Schizosaccharomyces pombe: one gene and its partner. The protein of the gene in region 1 interacts with the protein of each later gene in a pairwise test. Each region holds a gene or a part of one and is shown on either strand. Other genes may lie near its edges.

Region 1 (3,928 bases):
TTGCTGCCACGCTGAGACCTGAACCATTCTTTTTATAAATGCTCGAACACGTGGAATGTTGTTGTCTATAATAAGTGACTTATAAAGTAAATTCAGATAAAGAGACTGTTTCGACGACGTTGTTAGACGTGGGTCAAGTAATGATTCGTAAAGGCTTTTATAATAACGGTCCGAAATGAAATCACGGCTAGCAGATGCTTGAAAAATTAGCATTAAAACTTGAACTGACGTATTAAAAGAAGCAGTATGGGTGATGGCAAATAGGGTATTCATGTGCTTGTCAAATTTTTCAGAATTCACTTCTGCAAAGGGATAAGCACGGTTGACGCCTGTCAATACCGCTGATATCACGCGTGAATTAACGTTTTCTTCAGCCTCTTTCCTTAAATCTTCATCCTTCTTTCGTTTTTGTGACTTTTTGTTTTTTGAATCTGACTGCAGAGACTTTTTTTCCAAAGTAGGAGCATCAGCAACCTCTTCCTTCTCTAAAGCAAACAAGAGTTTAGTAAAAAAAACAAAATATATTTCTATTAATAAATTAGCAACGTCGACTTGTTTATGAGTCAAAACAGTTTGATTCAACGTTATCAATGTGTAGTAACAACTGGTACGGCTTGTAGAAGGTGCAAAGATGAATCTTTCAATTTCCTTAGTAATCACAAGCTTCATTGCAGGATGACTAGCTTCGAGCTGGAGAATTGAATAAGAAGCTTTAGAGGCAATTTTATTCTCCTTATCACCGAGTTTATTAATCAACAACTTGAGCAAATTTTGTTCTTGTTCAGGTTTAGCCTTCAATAAGTCATAGATAGTAGAAACCATTTGACTTTTTACAAATAGAAGTGCGTCAAAAGACAAAGCTTCAATGATTTGAATGTATTTAAAATAAAATGACTTCAAAAAACTTTCAAAAGCCCATACCATAAGATGTTTGTCTGTAACGTTTTTAGACCCCAAACAAGATTGCTGTTTCATATACTTTAACTTTCTGTCTGGAAGAAGTCCTCCGATAAAAAGGTCTTTGAGAGTGGTAATAGCTTGAGTAGCTTCGTTACGAGATTTTTTGGAACAAATAGAAAGCAAAGTTTCCAATGCCTTAACTGCATGTATGGGAGATTCCTGAACAAGTAAGGTGAGTGCGGAAATACGATCACTGGTGGTACCAGAACTAATGAGAGTTTGTAACATCCGTTTGTCAGCTGTTCCATGTCCCAGAGTTTCTGAAAACCTTTCTGAGTCTTCTTTCAAAAGCAATAATCCACGCGTCTCTAATTCAGAGACATGATCTACGTTTACAAACTTTTTATCCTCATGCAATTCTGGCAAAGGAATATTATACCATGGAACTCCGGGATCAAACATGACCCCCTGAGGTTTAGTATCAATTGTACCTTCTCCTTCTTCATTAAAAATAATCTTCTGCCCTCGTTTTGGTTTGGGGTACAACGTTGCCATCTCGCGAATTTTTTTTTTGCTTTGTTCTCCTTCCTTAAATGATAAACCAGTCTTCTAGGAATTCAACAAAAATAAAAGGGTAATGTTTTATAACAGTCAGAAGATCAAAAGGGCCTTATTTGTAACAATTATTAAAATTAATTTTAGAGGGGTGAATACTGGCAGAAGTCAATAGCGACACTAACCAGTCCTTCAGAACAAAATAACGTACGCTAATGTTATACGCTAAACAAGGAAAGCATTCAAATTTTGAAAATACTTTTTGGGATATTGTTTTTGTACTAGAACATATTATAAAAATTTAAAGTGGCTACATTTGTAAAAGTAATACTCAATTTTGTACTACATTAAAACCATACAAAAAATCCAGCTACCATATTCATACAGTGACTTGACTACTGCAAAATAAATTAACAATTGTCAGCATAATAGATGTTTTATAAGAATAAAATATAGACCAGATTATCATGCAATTGGCGAAATTTTTGCAACGAATGTTAATGAATTAGTGTTCACCAGTCAATGAGCTGCAACTCTGGGTTAATGAGTTACGAATGGCCGATATGCCATAAAGGAAAATTTCAAATGCAAGTATTAATGAGAGAGAAAAAAAAGAAAGACATGCCAGTTACAGCATTTTCGCATTTTAAGGCAGAAACAGCTCCAGCAAACAAGACAGAGAAAAGACTTCTAACGCAGTAGAATCCTAAGAAGATTCCTAATTAACACATTTATGGTTGTCTACACATAAGCGAGCATGATTAGATAATGCAAAGCTTAACTCCTCGTGGTTGCTTACTTTACAAGTACAAAGGATTTTTTTCTTTTCTTTAAATAAACGATTTAGCCAATATGGGTTAAACGGCATGAACGTTCACAATGCATGCAAAGCACATGCAAATGAAAAAAGCAATCCTAATCCATCCCCCTACTCATTATGATGGAACACTAAATAATAGGGTAATCCATAAACTCCATGACCTAAACGCTTAGCCATCTTTGCAAAGCCCTCACTTTCAATAAGGTGGTAAAAAGGGAAGGTTGGGAATAATGCGCCATCCCTATGAACACTTGCCTTCACCAGTAAAGCAGTGGTGCCTACACCGTCAAGAGCCATAATTGTAGATGGATCTTTGTGCTCCTCATAAATTTTAGCCATCAACATTCGATAAGTAGGCAATTCAGCATATCCTTCAAGCAAAATCTCATCCCTGTCCATGTGACTTGCAAGCTCCTGCGCGGTTTGAGAATCGACCCAACTATTGAAGTCATAAGGAGTTAGTTTATCGCCTTGCTTTTGGAAACAATTAGCTACCAACACGTCTTCATTGTGTTCCGCCAAATCTTGGATTAACGTGGAGGGAGTTTCTACAATGTCAGAATCAAGCCACAAAACCCAAGAGGTACTAGGTTTTAGAGTGCTTAACAGCAATGTATTTCTGGTAGCAGCTAACTTTCCCCGACGCTCCTTCTGGGCAGAAAATTTATGCCGTTCGGCCTCTGATTGCCCTGAAGAAAGATCAGAGTCTTGGATTAAAATTTTAACATCGGCAAAACGCTTATCGCCTGGACCTTTCTGAACAGCATTGATAGCATTCCGAAGTTCACGATGAACTTTTGCACCGTCCTTTGACGAAGGAACAATAAACCCTAAAGAAATTAAATTCCTCGGATAGTCAAGCTCAAGAAGATTTTTCCAATACTGTGGATAAAATCGAGCAATAGGAGTTAAGATTAACACCTCCTCTTTGTTACGAATGGGATCGGAAGATTCCGTAATTTTGTTCATATCGTATATTTCGTAAGAATTCCCCCCACGGTTTTCAATCTGAACTTTGGCATTTGAATTGACAGATGGAGTAAATAGGTAATAGATGAAAGTAATACCGAGGGCCACAAAAAGGAGCTGCCCTACAATTCTAGATTTATTGTACACGCGCATCTTAAAGTTTATAAATAAAAATGGAAGGGCACAATTTAATAAGAGTAATAAAAATAGAGAGTTAAAAATTAAAATCAACCCGAATCTGGATGTTGTTTTGTGGGTCTAAACAGAATCGAGTTCTTAAATAATTATGCGAATTCCTTAAAAAAGCAACGGCTAACAGCTGTAGTCGCGAAAGTAACACCTTATATATATAAATGTATTTCAACTAGTGAATACCCCGTTAATAAATACTTAAGATAATTTAAGCATTAATACAAACAAAGGATTATGTCGTACGTTCACGAATCAAGCTTGTACAGGTTTTGCCCCTATCGAGTAAAAACAAAGCCAAAGAAAGAAGTATTAAAAACGCTTTTTCGAGTAAAAGAAACTGTTTTTAAAATAAAAAATTTCCTCCAATAAACCCAGAATTTGAGTGTTTTCTTATATATTGGTTCGATTCCGCCGCCAGAGAACGCCTTTGTCCAGTATAATGTGTGGCTCTGGTTACGTCGAAAAGGAGGTGAATACCAGTTACCTTGATCC
Region 2 (3,928 bases), on another chromosome or scaffold:
CATCCTCTTCCTCATTCTCTTCATCTTCTTCAGTGCGCTTTTTCAAGTTGGGTCTGTCAGGATTAACAAAAGTGTTCCAACTTTGGTAAGCACGAAGGAAATCAGCATAAGTTTTTGCGGGAGCAGCTTCGAATTCGCGCTTTTTCAAGTTGGGTCTGTCAGGATTAACAAAAGTGTTCCAACTATGGTAAGCACGAAGGAAATCAGCATAACTCTTCTCTGGGGCAGCTTCAAACTCACGCTTTTTCAAATTGGGTCTGTCAGGATTAACAAAAGTGTTCCAACTTTGATAAGCACGAAGGAAATCAGCATAAGTTTTTGCGGGAGCAGCTTCGAATTCGCGCTTTTTCAAGTTGGGTCTATCAGGATTAGCAAAAGTGTTCCAACTTTGGTAAACACGAAGGAAATCAGCATATGACTTGCTAACTGAAACCACACCAGGATCGGCAACTGGAATAGGTGAGGCAGCAGCAAGTGAGAATAAAAGGGCAATGACAGCGGTGATCTTCATAATGTATGTGAAAAAAATAAAATTTCGTTGATAAGTTAGAAAAAGAAAGATAGTTTAAGCGATGAACTAGCAAATAAAAGAAGAAAATTATAATTTGTTGACTGATTCAAAAAAAGGGAGAGTTTAAAAAGGCAAAATTCCAAAAGAAAAAGGATTAAAAGATTAGAATAAGAAAGATCGAAGCAAATTTACAGAAAATTAGCTAACGGAGCAGGTTTGTTGACAAGAGGGATGTAAATTCACACCCAACGCGAGTTCTTGTAGAGTGAAGAATAAGAAATAGAAAGAGTGAATATGTAAAATAGAAGACTTGAACGAATTCTGGTTTTCTTCTGGGACAGAATGCCTGTATTTATACATCTTTGTAGTGCTCCGTTTCCCTCAATTCAAATCTGGAATTCTATGCTTTCAAACTGTTCATTGTTGACATTAACCGCCATTTTTTAATGACTTCCCCGTTTTCGTTTTATCGCTGTTTATCCTGATTGGTTGAAGATATTCGCTTATTTTTTTGTCGTCCACCCAAAATGAACTTCTATGTACAGCGACCAATCAAAAGACTTATTAATTTTAAGCGACTTTTTTCTGGTAGCGGCTATTTTTTTTATTGGTTAAAGGTTTTTTGATAATGTAAACAATAAAACTCTATCCATTGTTCTTTGTGTGTACTCAACCAATAGCATACCGCCATAGAATGAAAAAATGAACTTCAGATTGAAGGCATAGAACGCCTCTGGCTACTTGTAGCAGATATAGATACTGCAAAGCAACTAAAATAGAGCTTCAAAGGAGATGGAGCACGCAAAAAAGAGGAGAATAAACAAATACCCGTTCCCCTCCGACTAGTGGGCCAGTATTTGGTGTACTAGATATTGTGCACGGAGAAAGTACAAAGGATTGCCGTTGCTAGCATTTAATTTCCAAGGAAAGGATAGTAATATGATAGTAGGAAATTGTTTGATACCATTAGTGCTTTTTTTCCCTCGAACATGAGAATCAGGGCTTGCTAAAACCATAGTAGTGCTAGTTCCGAGAATCCCACCTTTTCATTATACCTTCAAAAAATAAGAGTACATTTCGAAAAGGTTTTAGTAAAAGGATTGGTGAAAATAACGAATAAACTGCTGCTTCTTTACAGCTTTTTTAATTCTTTTCGGCGTTAACATGCTTCCTTTCGTTCTAAAGTCATATAACCATATCATTATACTAATAAACTGTTTAATATAATTTTACTCCTTTATTATGACTTCGCGCTATACCATTGTATTTGTTAAATTGCTTTAGCGCGTTAAATGGAAAGCATTGATCGCAAAATCCAACGTTTGCAATACTTGCGGCTATAGACTGGAGATGATTTAAGAATTGGTGTAATAAAAGGATTCTGTAACTCATGGTAAACGCTTCTCTAATCTGGGATCTCGATACTCCTTAGCGACATTTTCAATATAGCAAACATGCAACAGAGATATTCATTTATAGGTTGGATGCTAGATCGAGAGGTTCTTATTCATACATTGTCTTGAATTTTTTAATTTTATGAAAGAAAAAAAAAATCTTTTTTTTCTATTCTGCTCAGGGCATGGGCCGCGGTTATTCCGCGGCCCATCCATATGTTTTGGCTCTTCCATCTTAAGTTGTTGGTTGCGTTTAGATTCGTGTTCAAAGTTGCTTACAACATACTACTGTATTATTGTACGAGTAGACTCCATATACTTCAACAGTACAAAGTCTCCTTGTATATTAATTTGTTTTAGCGCGCTTTTCTATTTTTTTACTGTTTTTCCACTCAGACCATAAATTAAATAGGTATGTAGCGTAAATGTCGAAATTTTTTTCCTCTTCCATTTTAGTGCAAACGGATGCCTTTTTGAAGACTCATGCTGAAAGAAACATGAAAAAGTTAATTCTCCAACACTTTTTTACCCGCTCAAATAGTGTTTCACCTATTTTGCAAATCCTTATTGGTATGGGTTAGTGTGTTTCTGGTTGCGTTGGTTATTGAGACAGTAATTTCATCGTTACATTCTTTAAAAGGTTTTTTTTTTTACGACTGTGACACAAACGCGTAAACATTTGAGAAGAGAAAAAAAAAGGAACTTGTGTGCTCATTTCATTCCTTATTTTATAACCAGCATTCCCAATTTACTAATGTGTTGTAGACAATGTATAACGTGATTTTTGTTTTAGGCGGTCCTGGTGCTGGAAAGGGTACACAATGCGATCGTTTGGCCGAGAAATTTGACAAATTCGTACATATTAGCGCTGGAGATTGTCTACGCGAAGAGCAAAATCGTCCTGGCAGCAAATACGGAAACCTTATTAAAGAATATATCAAAGATGGTAAAATTGTGCCCATGGAAATAACTATATCCCTTTTAGAGACTAAAATGAAGGAATGCCATGATAAAGGAATTGACAAGTTCTTGATTGACGGTTTCCCCCGTGAGATGGATCAATGCGAAGGTTTTGAAAAGTCGGTCTGCCCCGCTAAGTTTGCTCTTTATTTCCGTTGTGGTCAGGAAACCATGTTGAAGCGTCTTATTCATCGTGGTAAGACTAGTGGCCGTTCTGATGACAACATTGAGTCGATCAAGAAACGCTTTGTTACATATACTAAAGCCAGCATGCCTGTCGTCGAATATCTGAAATCACAAAATCGTCTGATAACCATCGATGCCGAGCAAGATCCCGATGCGGTTTTTGAAGATACCGTAAAGGCACTTCAACCTTACCTGTAGAGAAAGCAATGCTTTTGTAAGGCAATCATTTGAGTGCTATATTCTTATTTTCCCAACTTTCATTATATCTTTGCATCAAATATACTGTCCGATCACGGTTAATTTGTTGTATATTAATTTAAAAACCTTCTTTTTTCTTTCCGTAGCCTTGCCTTAATGATATGTCTTTATTGATACCATAATGCCAAATCACTGCTTGAACTGCTCAGTAACGAAAGTTCGCTGAAAAAAAGATACATATAGCAAAATGAGTTACTTTAACATTGAATAATAAATCAATCTCTAGAACGTTTTCATCAAAACGTTCACATAAAAAGCACGGTTTGTAGTGCACAAAATAAATACCATAGTGTATTCTACTGCAAAACGAAACCATAAAGGGAGCTAAACCCAGACATAAATGAGTAGATTTTTTCCGATAATATGTTCATGAGTTAAATTAAAACTATAACTATTTGTTCACGTTGTTTTGGTAAACAATCCCTAATTTTCTCCTACCATTGCTAACAAATAACCGTAAATTTTCATAACCAACCAGCACATTAGCAAAACAATATACTGGCATTTGCAGGACTTGATTTACCTGCAACTCAACTATTTACTCTGACTATCCAACCATTAACGATGGCATACATACCCATACAGATGAACCACACCAGACATACAGACAAGATTAGTC

The links.
Region 2: the proteins of noc1 (region 1) and ura6 interact in a two-hybrid assay, tested with the Schizosaccharomyces pombe proteins (one large-scale study listed by BioGRID).

What each region holds. Positions count from the first base shown.
Region 1 is NC_003424.3:4,847,925-4,851,852, forward strand, and holds the start of noc1 (ribosome biogenesis protein Noc1), read right to left. Parts: upstream 1,609-3,928; 5' UTR 1,456-1,608; coding exon 1-1,455. Other genes in the region: mannan polymerase complex subunit Mnn9, read right to left, coding at 2,384-3,397.
Region 2 is NC_003421.2:986,174-990,101, forward strand, and holds ura6 (uridylate kinase), read left to right. Parts: upstream 1-2,181; 5' UTR 2,182-2,317; intron 2,318-2,670; 5' UTR 2,671-2,673; coding exon 2,674-3,249; 3' UTR 3,250-3,536; downstream 3,537-3,928. Other genes in the region: P-factor pheromone Map2, read right to left, coding at 1-511.